4 linked regions of the Drosophila melanogaster genome follow. The gene in region 2 interacts genetically with the main gene of each other region. Each region holds a gene or a part of one and is shown on either strand. Other genes may lie near its edges.

Region 1 (4,977 bases), on a different chromosome or scaffold from region 2:
TCGAAATTTCCCTCCATTTTGCCGGGTTGCTGACCCCTAAGCAAATACTCGAAAACTAGCAGAAAATGCAAAGTGTCCTTGGGGCAAACCGAAGAGGCGCGCTCTTGTGTCGTTTTCCACTGTGCGAAGGTGGGCGGCTAGTGGTGGAGGAGGCGGGGGTAAACGCCACGTGCGCTGCACTTTTTAAACTTACTTTTCCTTTGGATTTTATCGTTCTTCTTTTCTTTTTGTTGTTTCGTTAAATCCACTCGTTCTGTTACTGTTTATTCGCTATTATGGGCGAATATATGTATATATCCGAATGACTTTTGATTTTGGCTTTGTTTATGGCCGCGCTGCCGCTGGATGTTGATTTTGTCTTAGCCAAGTTTAGCTTGTCGGTTTTGTTTGTTGTTGTTGCTGAATTGCGTTGTTGCTATTGTTGCTGAATTTTGAATTGAACATATACAACATACAGATTGTACACGATTGTTAAAAAGTTGCAACTGTAAAAATAAAAACAAAAAATATTGGTCACATCGGGCACTATTTTTTTTCTCGAGATTTTTGGATTTGCGCGCGCCAGAGAATGAGTGTGGCGTAAAGAGAGGGAGAAAGAGTAAAATCCCCAGCGACAAATGTAACGTAACCCACAACGTAAGCGTCTTCTGTACGTCACCACGCTACGTAGGCCACGTAACGGTATGCTAACGTTACCGACGGCGCCGCAAAACCGCAAAATCAAAAAATACAATAACAAAATCGACAAAATTATAGATTTTCAATGTGCACGTCGGTTTCTTTTTGCTAGCGAAAATCAACTAGCGCTAGTATATTTTGCTTTTGTTTTTTCTCATTTCGAGTGAAACTTTTCGCGCGCTTCTGCGTGTGTATTCCTCTTTTTTCGTTTTTTCTTCTTTTATTTGTTAATATTATTCACTTGGTGACTACACACGTTCATGCTCATGCCCCCTCACTCGACACACACACGCACACACACTGACGAACGTTTCTGCTTCTTGCTCCTCTTTCGTTCGCTTTTGTTCCACCACCGAAAAAAATGAAAAAAAAAATTTGTCATGTCCATTGAAGTCTCACATTTTTCAAATGCATTTTTTGGCGCTAAAATCTTATAAATTTCAACATTTTTCCATTCGCATCTGATCCCCCGCAATTAGCACTCCACTTCGAACACAAATTTATATAATTTTTGCCATTTTTTACCACAATTTTTAGTAATTTCTACACACCGATATATACGTACGCGCTACGATTTTTCGACAAACGCGCGAGTTTCTTCTGAGTCGCCATCAAATATACAAAATTTTTTTTCGAAATTACTGAAAATGCGAATACACACGCACACATGGACAGCCGACGGGCACGAGGCGCACGCGCTTGGTACATGCGGCTATGCCGCTCTAACGCACTGCTTTTATTGATAAATCGAGAGCGGGACAGCTAGAGCTACCGGCCGAGAGAGAGCATGTGAGAAGAGCGTTCTGTGCGAGTGTGTGTGATAGAGAGAGCCAGAGAGCAAAGTAGTCACACATACTCTCGCAAACTCATAGTGGCTTTCGTTCTCTCCTTTTCTCAACCATTTGCACGTACTTTTAGCTTTTTCATATGGCTATTTGGGAAATTCACCAGCAGTTTACACTTATGCTGTTGTTAGTTTTAATCCATTTATACTGGTAGAACGTAGATTCGTCGGCTACTTTACATTAATTTCGTAACGTAAGCGCAACAAAAACAAGGCTGTCATCGATATAAGCAGGCGTTTTTGTCTGAAACTATCGTGCAATAAGTGACTCCGATAACCAGAGTTCCTTTACGTGTTTCTCGATTACTTATCGGATTGTGTTTGCGAGCACAAATGTCTCTTTTAGCGGAGACACAGTCCTCCAAAACTGTGCAACACTGTTCCTAGGCTCGGTGTGACCAGAGCTATTTAACAACACTGGCGAACATCGGATGGCAAATATCGAAAGAACATTGACTGTTGTTCCACCCCCTGCTGACACCATCTGGTAACACTGAACAACAGACCAGATCCGCGGACAAAGCAAAGCAGTAAATATTAATTTAATCCAAATCCAATTCCCGACACCAATTGGCGGCCTTCAGCTGCTGCTTCTGCAGTCGAATTGTATTTTTTTTTTTGGTTTTTCGTGTCACCCGATAAGAGTTAAATTCGCTGATCTAGCGAATAACGGTGGCAAGTAATTGTAATAACTGCGTGTGTGCACAGTGCTAGTGTTTAGTGTGCGAGTGTGTGCGTGTGAGTGGGAACTCCACAAGTGTGCGAGAAGGCAAATCAAAATAAGAAAAGTGCCGCCCTGATGGAAATTAATATCGCGAATTATCAGCGAAAACGCAGCGAAAGTTAAGCCAAAGTGCTGCGATTAATCAGATAGCGGGTGAAATAGTGGGTATTACGTAAGAAATCAATGGATTCCGGGCTGCATTTGCCCAAAAAAAGAGGAAGCAATATCGAAGCGCTACTTTTATCTCCTCTTTTTTCGATGATTTCATTCGCAGTGACGACACACAGGCACGCACACACCGAACGCCGTATCTGTGTGTGGGTTGTTTGTTGAGCTAAAAAAAATAATGAATCCTCACGATACATTCACTCGTTTCATTTTTTTTGTTATTATTATTCATCATATTTATTTATTTCTTTGAGTGTGCATATCGGCGACTTCGCGACGCCAATTGCTGATTACGCCCCCTCCCTTTTCAGTGCAACTTCCCCACCCCGGAGATCTTGCACTCGAACTAAAAATCGAGTAGAGTACGTAGGCAGAAGCGAAAAGAGCGTACAAAAATCAAGAGCTCAGTGGCAGCAGCAGGAATTTGTGTTTGTCAGGGGATTGCCCAGATTTTCGGGGTAATTGTCCACTTTATAAACAGCCAACCGAATTTGAAACCAACTGTAACTGGAAGTAAAAACCAATTTTACCAAAGCTATCAAAAAAAAAACAATAAAAAAAATGAAATCCTCTGCGCGCCGCTGGTTTAACCAGTACGCCCACATGTGGGCGGCCCAGATGTGCCTCGTTTTTGGCCCAATGGCTGTGGGCGTCCATCCGTGGTTGAAACTATGCGCTGCAGATGCTGTTTACTCAGGCGGTTTATAGTATTACGAATTTGCTAGCTAAAAAACTGATTAAAACTACTACTAAGTGCACAACTCATAACTTTGATATGCTGTGACTGGGTGTATAAATGATAATCGAATGAAATTATTCAATCCAAGGGTATATAAACATGGGCTTAGTCGTTTTTAGTTTGTTTTCCTTTCGGCACACGATCTGCTGCAAATCAAGCTCTGTGGTGTGTTAGTGTTCGTTGTGTTGTGTGTGCGTGGGCGTTTAAAAATAGCCGACCAACACAACACCCATACGTATACGTAATCTGCAGCCCTTTTTTTTCCGTTCCGTGCATATGGAATTTTGATTTGAGTCTTGAGTGGCTTGGAGTGAGTGATTCATGTGGCTTTAGGCGGAAAGGAAACCCAGCGAAGCTGACTCAATGACCACTCATTGTTCGTTCGGCCTTTGTTTACATTTTGCCAGGAGCCAAGAGAGCGAGAGAGCGTGCTAACGGAACGTGCTCGAATGAGTAATTCGCATTGCATTTGACGTTTATCGAAAGCTCTCTTCCTTCCGCTTTTTTCCTTTTCTTTTCGGAGGCCAACAAAAAAAAACAACAAAAGCACGCAGGCACGCACACCCACACACAAGTTCGTACATCAATCGCTTGGTGTGTGTGTGTGTTTGTGAGATGAGTCATCTGGCCAAGTTGATGAGAAAATAAAATTAAACATTAAGGTAGAGCGAAAGAAACAACAAAAAAAGGGGACAGATGTGCGGCCATTTGCTGTTGTTTGTTGTTGCAATAAAGAAAAAAGCAGGGCACGCGGAGAAAGCAGTGCTCGACAAGCAGTGCAGTCAGCAGCTGGACTTTTACGTACACCGGCGTTCGTAAAAATTGCAGCGAAATCGAAGAAATCAAATTGTGTCTTAAAAATAAATGAAAGATTAAGGCATATAAAAAAAAATAATATAAAATATGTAGCATTAGAAATATAAGTGAACCAGGAATGGCTTTTATAATAATTTCTGCCCCTTACTTAACATCTAGTGCTAAATCCAACAATTTTAATTCACTTACCATTGCAGCCGGCGCACAGAAGCGACAGAGACAGAGCACACACAGCACCTGGCACATCCAAGGATATCCGATCCTCCTGCATCCCGAATCATCCACAACCTGCACCAACCGCTAACCGCCAAAGCCATGATCCTCGAGAGAAACCGGAGGTGCCAGCTGGCCCTCCTCATGATCGCAATACTGGCCGCCATCGCTGGACAAACGGATGCCCAGAAGGCGGCCAAACTGACGGCAGTGAGCACATGTGCATCGAAGGAAAAGTGTCACACCTGCATCCAGACAGAGGGTTGCGCCTGGTGCATGCAGCCGGACTTTAAGGGCCAGTCGCGGTGCTACCAAAACACCAGCTCACTGTGTCCGGAGGAGTTCGCCTACAGTCCGATAACAGTTGAGCAGATTCTAGTGAACAACAAACTAACGAATCAATACAAAGCTGAACTGGCGGCTGGTGGCGGCGGCTCCGCCATGTCCGGCAGCAGCTCAAGCTCCTACTCGTCGAGTTCGAGCTCGTCGAGCTTCTACTCGCAGAGCTCCTCGGGATCCAGTTCCGCCAGCGGATACGAAGAGTACTCTGCCGGCGAAATTGTCCAAATCCAACCGCAGTCCATGCGACTCGCATTGCGCGTCAGTGAGTAGCAAACGATTGCATCATCCATGTGACCTACAAACTAATCCCTTACTTGCTTATCAATACACCTTAGATGAGAAACACAACATCAAGATTAGCTATTCCCAGGCGGAGGGATATCCGGTGGATCTCTACTACTTGATGGATCTCTCCAAATCTATGGAGGACGACAAGGCCAAATTGTCTACGCT
Region 2 (4,702 bases):
GGCCCAGCTCCGTCACAAGTGGCCGACTTTGAACCCTTCTTTGCTTCTGGCTTTTCTTACAATTGTCGCACTTGTCACCACACCACTGCCGCCCCACCTAAGCTCCCCTTTTATGCTTTTTCTCTTTTATTTTTTTTTTCTTCTGTCAGCTTCTTTTATTGTTATGCGCAGTGCGTAGAACAAGTGGAAGCTTTGTTTGACAATAACAACAACAGCGAGTGAAACATCAGCAGCTGGGGCAAGTAAGAAACAAAAAAAAAAAAAAAAACGTTAAGTTTACACGACTTCCAAGCGCTGGACGGAATCACCTGCCGCATTTTGTTTTTTCTGTAGTCGCTGTTGTGGGCTTGACATTTGACAATAAAGCAAATAATCATGGGAAAAAAGCTGAGCCCCCAGAAGAACGACAACTCGCCGCCGCAGTCATCATAAGAAAATATCAAAAACGGGAGGAAATCCGGAACCGTAGTCAAAACAAACGAAAGCGTTGAGTTAAGAGCTGTTGGATGAAAGCAAAACTAAATTAAGATTGACGAGTTATGTAAGGGTCTCATATTGTGATCGATCGATTAGCAATAAATAGAAAAAATTATGTCTCTTGCTCACAATTTTGTTAACAAATTGCTCATTGCTTTTAGGCAAATTGTTAAAAAGTTACAGCTCTGTAATGATAACTAAGATTAGTTATGAATCCAAACTTTCTTGAACTAGATAAGATCGCCGACAGTACATTTAACTTATTCAAATGCAGCATAAGCGCACATCATTCATTCAATTACTTGGAATGACTCATTGAGCTAGGACTTGAACTTTTTGCGTATGAGCAATAATTTTTAAAGACCCTCAGACTGGAACTCATTTATAGCAGCCTATCAGAAGCTCGACGATTATGAGTAACTTATTGGAAATCGGAGCAAAAGCCAATGACAACTGTCCTCTTATCTATTTTTATCTATTGGATTGATAATATTGTCGTTAGACACCTATTTAATCGTCAACGGGTTCGATTTCCCTCCTAGTTCGGTTTTCATTTTAACGAGTAACGACGATATTTTTTTAATACGTTGTTTTTCTAGCATATATCGTATCGACTTATTACGGTAAGAAATTATCCTTGCAGCAGAGGAATAGAGGGATTTTTCGAGAGAGCGAGAGAGTAAATCGGATTTACAAAATATATTTTAATACCCTAAATTTGAAAAAAAAAGGACATTATAGACTTAAAGAATTTTAGAGCAATCTCTAAAGAAATTAGCATATTGTGAAGCATACTTTTAGAGACGAATAAGTAAAGGTCTCGTGCCCTCCTTGATGTTCCATATTAAATATCCCAATTGTTAACCACAAATCGCCTTTAAGTAATTGATATAAAGTAATGAATTGGATCACCCGAAATTGTTGAGAGAAAACTGCAGGGTTGAGAAAATGCTGGCGTTGCTGTGAGAAGAAAACGTTGGAGAAAACACTCAACGTTTGAGCGAAATGAGCGTGCCGAAGATATTCGAACACGGCCGAACGCAGTCGAACAAATTCCGACCAGTGAGATACGTTTGAGTCGTGAGATACGTTTGAGTTGTATCCGTGAGATACGTTGTGAATGCTACAACTCTGCTCTGCATCGGTGAGATACGTTTGAGTCGTTTTCGCGGCGTCAAATCGAGCAGACCTGTGCCGCTCCGTAGAGCGAGTTCGTCCAAATAAAAAAAGAATTATACGAAATTCCGCCTGTGTTAGGAGCAGAGAAAAGAATAATTTTAAACCAACATACACAATCAGTTAGTTTCCACCGACAGTCCGCAGAAACCATTCGACGGCAACGGAACGGGCGCGCGATTGTCGGCAATCCGTAAGATAGCCAAATATTATTATTGTTCAGATACTCACTGAGGGCGTTGATAAAAGATCAGCCAGACAACTGCAGATCCGAGTGGAGTGTTTTGAAATCAGTGAAATTCTGTGTGAAAAATCGTTGATTTATTAATATTCAAGAATAAAAGTTCCCAGCGAATTTCATCAGCTGGAGTAACCGAAGTGACCCACCAAGCAAATCGAACAACACAAATCGATCGAACGTGTAAAAGGACTTTCGGTTTCATTAAGCGTGTGCAATTGCTGATTTTCCCCGGCAAAGCGGACTTTTTGCGGAATGAATGAAATAAAAAAAAAACAGCAGTGGCAACTATAATAATAAAAACAACAACAGTGCAACAACAGCCGGGGCATCTTCATAGATTTTGGCTCTCCTGAAGCAACAACTTCTGCCTGCACTTGGTATATGTACTTATCACATAGACATATATATACGCACAGATATATAAAACAAAAACGATCGCTTCTCGTGCCAGCGCGTGTGATTGTGTGCGTTCCCATGTTGCATATATATATGCACAAAAAATATATATATTTATCTAGAGCCGACTGTTGCGACGACTTTTCTATATAATCGGCTAGTGAGCACGCAGACATCGAAAAGGTGCACAAATACATCAGCAGATGCGGGTATATATGTATTGCACATATATCTAGCCAAAGCCAAAGTAGAAGATATATATGCGTATAAGCTGAACGCGGCGCACTCTGCTCTGTTTTTTCTTTTATAATTACTTTTGTCTAAAATTAGAAGACGTGTGTGTTGTGTGTGCCCCGTCCGTGTATCCGTATCCGTGAGATACGCGAGAGTGTCCGCGTCTGCTATATCGCACATCATCATCGCCGTACACCATCCGCCGTCCAATATCCACCATCATCATCATCATCATCGCCATCCCCATCATCATCGTCGTCGTCGTCATCAGAGATCAGAGATCTGCAGCGGTGTGTGTGCCAGAAAAGACGACTCGTGAATCAGACTACGGCTACGACTACGGGTGCGACTACGGCTATATAGGCGAGAGATCGCGTATACGGCCAGACAAACATTATCGTATATCTGGCGCCGAGGATTACAATTACAAGAGCAGCAAACGCAACAGCAGCAGCAGGAGCGGCAGCCGAAGTTAAAGCCGAATACGAGTACGAATACGAGTACGAATATCCGAGCCCCACAAACGAATACGAATACAAATACGAATCCGAACCCGAATCGAGGCGATACGAAACGATCGCGCGCGTGAAAAGCCTCGTGAAGAAAAGCGCTACGAAAAAAGTGGGGGAAAAATCAAACGCCACGCGACCTTAGGCCCGTCCAATTTTGGGGGGGGGCGTGCAGCGGGGCGTGGCCGTGCGTCGACTCCTAGCGATCGCTCAAGTGAAACGCGGCGAAATTCTGTTCAGATAACAAAAATGAGTCACCAAAATAAGCAGCAACAGCAACAGCAGCAGCAGCAACATCAAAAGCAACAGCAACAATCGAGTGCGGCAAAGTGTTCATAAATTAATGCTAGGCATACAGTGTGTTAGACCAGTCCGAAATACACTATCCCCCTCTCTCTCGCTCTCGAACAGTCCGTCTCTCTCTTGCCCCTGCTGTCGCTCAAAATGCTACGAAACTATCGAAAGTATTTGCAGGATAAACGGAAATACGACAAGCCACAACGACGAGGCAGCGAATTTTACATTTGTCACGTTTAGGCAAATTGCAAGGACAAAGGACACACCAACCCCCCAGCAGCAGCAGCAGCAGCAGCAGCAGCAGCAGCAGCAGCATCACGCAGCAATACGCAGCAGCAGCAGCAAAGCGCAGCAGCAACACTCGCTATCGAGATTTTGTACATAAAGTCGGGGCAATAGCAGCAACAACTTTGGAGGACGCCATGTATGCGCAACATTTGCGCAAATGGAGTCTAAAAACAAAAAAGCAACTAATGCCATTGATATTGCTAATTATCAGCTACATGTTGCTACTAAACACATGTGTGTTGTCGTCGTCGGCGACGACGCAGCAGCAACAACAACAGCAGCAGCAGCAGCAGCATCTTCCAAGATTATGGGAAGGCAGTGCCGAAGAAAGCAGCTACTATATACCACTGAGTTCGGATAATGGCAGCGGGAGCAGTGAAAGCTCCGCCGAGAGCGGTAGCAGCAGCAGTAGAAGCAGCAGCAACAACATCGACAACAATATCTTAAGTAGGCTGCTCAGCCTCAACAGCAATAGTCTTAGTAGCCGTAGCAATGTTAAGTTAAAGCCAGCAACAGTATTCGACGCCGGCAGCAGTACACCCGCTCAGCAGGAGCAACATGTGGCTGCCGTGCCAGAGCAGCAGCAGCAGCAACAGCAGCAGCAGCAGTCAATGCAAAAAGTTCCAAATACGTTAATCAATAGTCAAATATATAATTTATTATACAATGGCATGCCCAGCGAGGCGGCGAGCAGCAAAATGCGTCGCCACATTCAACCATCACAGCTGCCACATCAGCCAGAGAGCAGAGCGCAATTACCGAGCAACTACAGCAGTCGGCCGGCGGTGCGGAGCTATCTAATCGAGTCCTACGAGATGCCAGAGAGCATGTTAGAGGATCGCAGTCCGGAGCAGGCGGCGCGAAGTCGTCGGGATGGCAGCAACACCAACGGCAGCCGGCAGCAACAGCGCACCGGCCACCGGCAACAGTTGCAGCAGGACAAGCGCGATCACCGCCGCCAGCGGCAGGATCAGCAGAAGGAGCAGCGCCAGCAGCAGCAGCAGCGTCAGCACAAGAGCGGCAACAAGCACCAGCAGCAGCAGCAGCAGCGCAGGAAGCACCAGCGGAAGCACCAGCGATACAA
Region 3 (4,845 bases), on a different chromosome or scaffold from region 2:
GCTGCCATCCCTGGGTCCCGAGACCAAATCTCAATCTCAATCCCAATTCGGAGTGGCGAACAATCAGTGGTCGGCACATATGTAGCTGTGTGCCTAGCATACTAACCATCCCCCGCCTCCGACTGAACAATAAATTATGTTTATTTCTGGCCCACTCCCCATCGCACCTACGAATGGTTTTGGCTGTGCCCAAATGCGGTCTGGGTCTCCAGCAACGAAATCGGGATAGCCAAGGTCGCGGAGCTCAGGAATGGAGCACTGGGGATACTGGGACTGGGCTGTCGCTCTGGCAACTGGTACCGATCAAGTTTATTTCTGGGTAGGGCGGCACTCACGGCACTCACTACTTCGCCGGAACTTTTAGTAATTCCATACGTAATGTAAACACGTTGGGTAGGCTATTGGTCAATGCCACTTCTAAATTGCGTTACCCGATCATTTCTAAGAACTTAAACTTGCGAATGGCCAATGTTGGCCTCGCTCTTAATTCTGTATCGATAGCAATCAGGTAGCTCAAATCATCTCTACTCACTTTTAATGCACTTCTCGTCTTGCATTTGCCATTGCAATGACTAATATTCTTAACCGACACCTAACTGCGCCCAGAAGCCCCATGTGGTTTCCACGGATCTGGTCCACCTGGCCTGGAACATCCTGTTTGCATTGATGCATGCATGCATAGCTACATGGGGTTTCCCCGACTGGTTTGAGCTGAGCATTTTCAATTTTGATCGAACACTTCGGAGACAATTTCCATTGAGTGGATTTTGAATGTGGTTTGGGTAACAAGTTCTAGTTGGTTTCCAGCGAAAAAACAATGACGAAATGTTGGAAAAAAAAAAAATAGTTCGTCATCGTTGGGAGGCATGAATACGAGGCTGGAAGTAAAGTGTTGCTAGATCGCAGTTCGCAGGCTGTCGCACGTCGAACGATTTTGTTTTGCTGGCCAAAAAAAAAAAAAAGATATTCTGCGCACGTTCGCACCTCTGACGTCTGCGCCTGCGCTGTAAGAGAGCTTTGGCACTGCTCGCTTCTAGCTCCCACTTACCCAACTACCAACCTGCCCACCTGCCCACCAACCCACCTGCCCCCCAGCAAACCCAGTTCCTTGCCTAGATGGCCGCCACAGTAGTTGCTGTGCGGCTTCAGTTTCATTTCCGGTGGCAGGCAACGGACGGCGCTAAAAGCGCTTTTTGTATTTGCTTTCTTACAAGCCAACAACACACTCATATCACGAAATGACCATTTTCGGATTGGAATTAATCTTATGTGCCTGCTTTTCGAAATGTGTATGATTCGGATTCTGATTGCGATGAACTCCATGACTCATCCAGGAGTACAGTCATTACGAAATAAACATAGAGTGGAGCCCGCTATACATATTTATAGGTATTAGCCTGGCTCTAGCACTTAATTGAAAGTAAATGAAAAGTAAAAGTGTAATTTTTTACAATGTTGATTGCAATTCAAAGTGCTTTCGCTTTCTGAATAAACCGTAAGTGGCGTCCACAGGATGGCTACAATTAAGTGGCGCCCGCTGAGGGGCCCAAGCAGTTTGATGATACTGAAACAGGAGCCCAGGGGAAAGCTGTGCACACACCCACTGCCAATCAATTTCAAAGTTACGTCTTTCGCTCCGTTTTATTTACTGTGTTTTTTTTTGTATTTGTTTGTGACTTCTGGCTCGCTGACAGTAAATAAAGCCCATAAATAAAAACACCCACCCACGAGATCGACAGGAAGGGCTAACCAGAGCGCCGGCTGGATTTAAAAACAAAAAGCGCCGTCCGCAGCCAGTCAAGATTCAGATTCATTCATACCCCAGCGCTTAGAACACCACCAGGCCACAGCTCCCGTCCGAGAGATATAGCCACTAAGAGAGAGCGGAAGAATCGAATCGCAAAGAGAGGAGCCGCGCTGAGACAACGTCAAGAATCCGATTTCGATTCCGATTGCGATTTCGAATCCGAGGCAAAAAGCTTCAGACTCGGCAGCAGGCGCTTCATTCTCGAGTTGTGATCCAACGGGTTAGCAGCTCAGCTCGCAAGCAGTCGCCGTTCGTCGTCGAGCGGCAAGCAGTTCGTTTCATTTCTACTGGGCGCCAGTACAAGTTCCATCGAGTGTTTTTGTTATTCGAAGGCAAAGCGCGAAAATTATGCCTTCAGCCACATTTGTCCTGGAGCATTTGATGGCGGCACAATCGCGACTCGACGAGCAGGCCGCATCCCCAGCAGAGGTCAAACCCACCAGCACCATCAACAGCAGCAGCACCACCGTGGCCAAGGCCATCAATGTCAAGTCGTACGAAAAGAAGCTGTTGCTGGCTCTCAAGAAGATTGTGCAATAATAAACGAATGCGGGGTAAACAGCACTCTATTTGACAAACTGTAGACATTTCCCCTAATCGAGCTGACTAAGATCAATAAAAAGCAAACAGAGAAGCACAACAAACAGCGGCAAAAAACAAAAACCAAGAATTCTAGTTTTTGTGCTTTCAGTGTGTGTTCGTGTGTGTGGGCAAGTTGTTACATAAAACAAAAACAATAACAAAATAAAAAAAAAATAATAAAAAAACACCCCAGCCGAGACGCATTTTTCCGCAGTGGAATACTACTATCTAAGCTTCTTTTTGTTTTGGTGTGTGCGAGAAAACGAGTGTGAAGAAAATGCTGTTCAACAAATGTCTGGAAAAGTTGTCCAGCTCGCTGGGCAATGTGGTCAATCACAAGCTGCAAGAGAAACAAGTCTACAACAACAACAATATCAACAATAACAATAACAATACGCTAAACAACAACAATGCCTACAACAATCAGCGAAACTTTGAGTACGAAAGAGCCATACAGGCGCACTACGGAAGCAAGGGAAGACGCTCGGAGGAGCGCGAAAGGAGCGGCAAGTTCAAGGCCAGCAAGGGTCGGAAAGCAAAGGTCACCCCACCAACGGAGACACCCGAGGCCCAGGAGCCGGCCTGCAAGAACTGTATGACCCACGACGAGCTGGCCCAGATCATAAAGGGCGTGGCCAAGGGCGCTGACGCGCAACGTAATCGAGACAACCGACTGCAGCGCAGACGTCGTCCTCTCTCCGCCCAACCCTCCGCCGCTGCCTCCGCCTCCACATCGACGGAATCTCTGCACCGTCTTACACCCAGCCCGCAGGCTTCCTACCCGGCCACGCCCACCTCCTGGACAGCCACACCGCCCCAGTTCCCAGCCGCCTTCGGCGGCGCCAGCTGCTCCAACAGCACACTGTCCCTCTTGGCCACCATGCGCGTCCAGCTCCATGGTTACACGTAAGTTCAGGTCGCCCAAAAAAAACGACAGCAGTCCAGTCCAGAGTGTTAGAAAAAGAGCAGCGTTCTGCTAATTTGGGGCGCGTGCGAAATTAGGCACTAATTGTTATTGGAGTGCGAGTAATGAAGTTGTCAGGCTGCCAACTAAACGATACCCCGTAGCAGGTGAAATGGTATTTTGAGCTACCATCGCATCGTAGTATGTCGCCCCGCCTGTCAGTCACATGTCGCGGAGTAGCAGATGATTCGCGGGAAATCTGGAGACAATCTGCTGCCCATCAACATTAACCCTAATAAGGCAGGCAATCACAGGCAGTTGACGCCGCAACAAAGCAAAAAAAAAAAAAAATCAGCGCAGCACATACTGTCATGTGTTCAGAATTGCCACGCAAAATGAGTAAATATTTACGCAAAGCATTCGACTCGAAAACAAGCAATCGTAAATTGACGTTCTAATATGAATGAATTTCCGACTGTCAAATGCCGAAGTGAAGTGAAGGGAGTGGAATGGCAAATGGCAGGGGGCCCAGCTCAGATCGCCACTCAAATATGGTCACATATCAACATATCAACCCCCCCCACACAATTGGCCCGTTGTCAAGTTGTGTTTCGATATTGGTTCTTTCATTTAGAGCTGAAGATTGAGTTATTGGTTAGGCACTGGCTAAATTACGCACTTGTAGAACCGGGAGAGTTCGGCGAATTGCCCACTGCAGACATCGTATCTTGGCCCACTGCCAGATCGGAATTATCTCTTCACTCGCGCCCGGAATGTTTACCCATGTCCCGCTGTTGCGCTGTCCGTCGTCCACATTCCCCAAAGATTCCATCCCACTCCGTGTCTGATCTTGGTGTTTATCTGCCCGGCTGTGCCATGTGCCGTCCGATTGTTTGTGTGGGCTGGCCCCATCTTGGCGATCTCGATTCGCACAGTACACCCAGAAAACAATCGCATATGTATCTGCTGGACTATTATTATGTCCCATAAATTATCTTTGACTTTTAGTTGAGCTCGGATTGGTAGTGCAGTCGGTTTCGGTTGTTGCTTATTTATTTATTTTGATTTTTATCGCAACGGATTCATAATCGCTGAACGTGTTGATTGGCTCGTTAACTTGATCTTTGTTTTTCTAATTTATGCTCAGCTTTTATAGGTATCCTGCTTTAGGGCGATCTTTTCGTCGTTATCCTAAAACGCACATCATGCCAAATGATCTGAAGATGATGTGCCAATAGCTTTGACAGCTTAAGCTGCGTGATTTCCGGATTTCACTTGTCACACTCACTAGGTCAACAATGGGGCACCGCCGTCCTCTGCCCTCCGCCTTGTAGAACTATTAACCTTCCGATGGTTTTTCTTCTCGCCATAAGGCTGATTAACGATTTATGAAATTACATTTCCCGTAATGGATTTCGAGCGCTGCCTTCTGTTTTGCATATTTCCGTTTATTTGTCCGTTGCACAACCGTGAGCTGTGGCTACTGATCAAATAAAAGCGTTTAATTTGTGCAAATTCATAACGTCGGCCGACTACAAGATGCTCTCAGTGG
Region 4 (4,560 bases), on a different chromosome or scaffold from region 2:
AATCTATAAACAAATTATTATGAGGCACTGTACCAATTATAATGGTCTGAAAATACTGCATGTATTCGCATTTACTCTTGTCAATATTAAAATCATGAGAATTCAGCTGTGTATATTCGTAAGGAATAAGGACCCAAAATCTGTGCCGACGTCCACAACCAATCCACCCAATCAGTTCCGACTTAACCGGGGTTCTTTGAAAGCCCTCTTAAGTCAACAAGCAACAATAGCAACAACGAGGTGAAACATTTTGCCCAAAAATAAAGTTAAATGCGAAGGCTAAGTCGCACAAACATTTCAAATACGTAATACATGTTTTAAAACTTTCTGCGAAGAGTTCAAAAAGCAGCGGCGAACTTATGTATGTAACAGCAGAAGTATATTAACAATTACACTTAAAAAAATTTCTTTTTCAACGATTGAATCAACGTAAGCTGGTTGAAATTCTGAAAATGCATTGCAGTTAATGGCAAATATTTTACATTATTAAAATGTAACCGTAACCTCAACCAAAACTTGCCAAATATATGTAAGTTACAACCGGCAAAACACTCAAAATGTCAAACATTTGTGGAATCATAGTGAATGCATACCACAAAAGCTGAATATTTATAGCTGTAACTGCAATAAAAGTATTTAACGTTAAATCTGCTCCCTAAGCCATTTGGAGATTTGTGTGCACTTTGTTTCAAGCTTGTGCGGAATTAAAGGAGAAGTGACAGCAAGGTTCTATGATGACAGTTCTTATTGGAAGCAGGCGACAACTTGGGCGTAGTGCTGGTAGCGTTTGAACTGGTTGAGAATTATAAATACACCTGTCAAACGAACCTATATTCTTTCAACATTTATAGCGTCAGCATACGAAAACACAATAAATAGCTCTCAGTAAGTTAGTTACAACTTTTCTGCATGATGTTTTCAGCATGAAGACGGCATATATAGACACCATGCATCTTTTCATTACACAACTAAAGAATCAGCAGAGTCAACCGAAGACCCGCTGGTGTGAGAGTTCGTTCCCCTGTGCGTCCTCAGACCACTGTTCGTCCTCTGCGAGTTGGAATTCCTGTCACGGACTCCGCTCGCAGCTTCCAGTTCGAGTCTGGAGTCCATCCTCATTCATGTGGCGTCTGGCGCACAGCTTATACTCCTCCTGACTGCTGCTACCGCTGCCTTATTCACGTTTTGCAGCCGGCCAACTGTCCGGTGGGCGGTGCGTGGGGAGGCGATTTCGGCTGGTGCGAGAGCGCGGATAGAACACCACGCCCTCTTCGTCTACTGGCTGTGCTCTAGAGCGGGAACGAGCTACTGACGCTATCAGCTGAGAGCGCCGCCATTTGCCACTACGTGAGAGCTGCGGAATGAGCGTGTGTGCAAGCAGGATGGCAGCTCATGCGCGACATCGCACTCACTCACACTGGCGCGCGCACATCACGCACGCAAACACACGGCGAACGGGGCGGTGGAGTTTTTTGGCTTCTGGCGCTGCGCTCGCACAGCGTCCAAACATTCCCAGTTTTTCAGCTGCGACGGCTGGTTGTCCTCACGATTTTGAGTAGATCAGCTGCAGACCAAAGTCGGTAGTCGAGTTTCGAATTTGAGTCGGTTTTTGTTTTTGGAAGCGGTGCGCGTATTCGATTTTTGTTTTGACTTGAGCTCGGCTGTAGTTTCGGTTTGCCAGAACTGGATCGAAGGAGAATCGACACAGAAACAGGGAGTTGGCGAAACGGATACAAAACTGAAGTTGGATCGGTAATCGCCTGCCCGGTCATAAACAACAACACAAGGGAGCACAGCCGCATACGCATACGCGCCTCTGTCTCTAATGCCTTATCAGTAACAGGCATCGTCGAGTGTCGTAGGAAGAGCCCGACAAAGGCCGACCTTTACCACTCAATTTGGATCTGATGTGCCATTCTCGCGCTGTCTCGTAAATTAATGTCATAAATTAACTTTAGATTTCTTACGCTAACCGGTGGTCGTCAGCGGTCCGAAAACGCCTTTGCGCTCGAGATACAGGGGCGGTTTCTAATCAATACAAATATCCTACCTGCCGCCGAGTCAAGTGTTTTAGTGAGTGTGTGACCCTATGTTCCTTATATTACCTTGGTGCTAAGGAGAAAGTTTAAAAAAAGCGGCATTCAAATCGTAGTTTGTGCAATAAGAAAAGGCAAGCCAATGGTGTCAATCTCTAAGACAACGCCGAAGTGATGCATGTCCGCAAAGTAATAGATCAAGTTGTGCGCACACTTATTACCGGCGAGCCTAGCCGGGCATCTAATCGTGGCCAGTGTCAAGTGTCCAATAGCACATCTAGCCGGGGTGTAGAGGATTACCCAAGACCAACGTAGCACCGCAGCCCTTTTAAGGAGGCATAAGGCTCGCAAGACACAACGCACAGCCTACACAACGACAAACATAACACGACCGACGGACATCATCCTTGGAAATAGACCTCGTGTCATTCCAAAAGACGCACATGGGCGTCTGCACCGAGGAGCGCCCTGTGATGCATTGGGTAAGTTCTGCCGCCGTAGCACATAAAATCCAAAGTTACCAGCGATAAGACTAAAAAATAAGTCATCCACCAGTCCGTCCCAGCTCACCCAAACTCTGCCCTTTGTGATTAATATTGATCCGAGCCTGGGTTACTCGGAGTTATCAATACCAGACTGAAAGCTTGCCTATCAACAGACAGCCCCACTCAATATCGATAAGAAAGCCGCTTGGGCATTTCAGATTAAAAACAGTTCCCAGAAGTGTTCAATCAGTGGCTAGTTCGCTCGTTGAAACATTGCTGTAGAACGCGGTTACAAAATTTCAATGTGATTCCCTGCCTTAATTTTTATTCATCTAACTTAGGTTAGAATCATTTAATGTTTAAGAAGGCAGATTTTTGATGATAGTCGTACTAATCAATATACAATCAAATTGGGCGGCATAGTCGTGCAAAAAAATTAATAGATATGTAGAAATCAAAATACAGGTAAAACAAATATGTACGTTTTTACGAAATTTTTGTATATATCTGATATTCGACGCGAACGTATTCAGTTTTAGAGAATAATCACCGTGTGCCAATATATACCAATTTGATATATTTTAATAGTAGTCAATTGACCTTCAAATACTAATTTTTAACGCGAATAAGGCATTTTCTACCACACAGAGATATTCTTGTACCATTTTTTTGAAAAGAACGAATTGCCTTGATGAGTTACATGAACATCTTTTACCTATTTTTGATTTTGTCATTTTTAATTGCTATTCCTATTTTGAAACATAACGCATTCCTTATACTTTATGCAAACAATTTTTTGTTACTTTACAACTTTGGTGTTTGAAATCTGTGTGTTTGTTTTAATTCCCATCTTTTGTATGTTTTCCAAATGTCATCGATTACTGTAAATCGAGATGTACGAGTATTCGAATTCTAGTCTATATATACCACATCTATATATTGTACAAGAATTGTATAAGATTGTATTGTATAAGAATAGGAAAATCGTAAATAAATTGGAAGAGTAAAATGGTATGAAACATTCGTTGAAAAGTATGTAACAGACAGATGGAAGGGTTACCGACCCTTATAAGGGATATCCTTGATTAAGGTCAATAGCCGAGTTGATCTGGCCATGTCCGCCTGTCCGTTCTTTTATTCGTCCAACCGTCCGTCCTTTTAAACGTTTTAGGAATTGTAAAAGCTGAAACCTAGTCTTGAACATTCATATTGTACTGCCGTTTTAAAGTATTTCCAAGTCCACTAAAACAAACTCCCATATCTCAAAATTCTTTCTTCCTAAAGTATTCGAAAATGTGTTGATGATGTGTTTACCTGATAAATTCGGCACATCGATCAAGTTACGAAATTGATTAAATTCGGACTATTAAAAATTTTATAAAAGTAATTTTAGAGTTTTTTTTTTCAAATTTTTATTTTTGTACATTTCTTTTTATATATAAAAGTCGAGTTCCCCAACTATCAGATACCCGTTACTCAGCTAGTGGGAATGAAAACGCAACATTTCATCATTTTGCTGGAATATCGTTAGATATCGGTGAATAAAATGAACAAAAATTTAAATTTAAACCGCCAAGAAATACGCTTTTGAAATATGTTTTGATATTTTTCATGTTTTATAAGTCTTTAAATTTTTACCGATTTGCCAAAAAACTCTTTGACATGCACAAACAGCCCAAAGCGGCCACGCCCATCTTGATGAAAATGTTTTGGTATATTTCCGTTTTATGTATGTATTGTAATACCAAGAAAATTTTTAACACACCCTTTCTAACTTATCATTCGTCTTAATTTTTTTTCCAATTTCTTTCGATATGCAAAAAAATTGAAATTTATTTTTCGCAGTCTGCCTAGCTGAGTAACCGATATCCAATAGCGAGAAATAGACAACGAATTCAAATACATTTTTTTGTAGCTGTCATTTGCCCGTAATCAAAATATCGGAAACATCAATAAGTCCTATTGTTAAGTTTGTTACAAAACTCAATTTTAATTCAATTCAATTTTTTCTACAAAAACTCAATTTTAATGTGAATAAA

The links.
Region 1: of vn (region 2) and mys, changing one suppresses a phenotype caused by changing the other (phenotypic suppression), as found in Drosophila melanogaster (one study listed by BioGRID).
Region 3: of vn (region 2) and csw, changing one suppresses a phenotype caused by changing the other (phenotypic suppression), as found in Drosophila melanogaster (2 studies listed by BioGRID).
Region 4: of vn (region 2) and ap, changing one suppresses a phenotype caused by changing the other (phenotypic suppression), as found in Drosophila melanogaster (one study listed by BioGRID).

The regions. Positions count from the first base shown.
Region 1 is NC_004354.4:8,059,674-8,064,650, forward strand, and holds the start of mys (myospheroid), read left to right. Parts: upstream 1-1,971; 5' UTR 1,972-2,052; exon of another isoform or gene 2,053-2,407; intron 2,408-4,166; 5' UTR 4,167-4,284; coding exon 4,285-4,786; intron 4,787-4,859; coding exon 4,860-4,977. UniProt on the Drosophila melanogaster protein: Integrin alpha-PS1/beta-PS is a receptor for laminin. Integrin alpha-PS2/beta-PS is a receptor for Tig, wb and Ten-m. Contributes to endodermal integrity and adhesion between the midgut epithelium and the surrounding visceral muscle.
Region 2 is NT_037436.4:5,842,609-5,847,310, reverse strand, and holds the start of vn (vein), read left to right. Parts: upstream 1-1,646; 5' UTR 1,647-3,752; coding exon 3,753-4,702. UniProt on the Drosophila melanogaster protein: Ligand for the EGF receptor. Seems to play a role in the global proliferation of wing disc cells and the larval patterning. Shows a strong synergistic genetic interaction with spi, suggesting a molecular interdependence.
Region 3 is NC_004354.4:2,100,481-2,105,325, forward strand, and holds the start of csw (corkscrew), read left to right. Parts: upstream 1-1,808; 5' UTR 1,809-2,666; coding exon 2,667-3,295; intron 3,296-4,845. UniProt on the Drosophila melanogaster protein: Required in all receptor tyrosine kinase signaling pathways. Functions downstream of the receptor tyrosine kinase torso, acting in concert with D-Raf via tailless.
Region 4 is NT_033778.4:5,723,779-5,728,338, reverse strand, and holds the start of ap (apterous), read left to right. Parts: upstream 1-1,506; 5' UTR 1,507-2,479; coding exon 2,480-2,518; intron 2,519-4,560. UniProt on the Drosophila melanogaster protein: Required for the normal development of the wing and halter imaginal disks.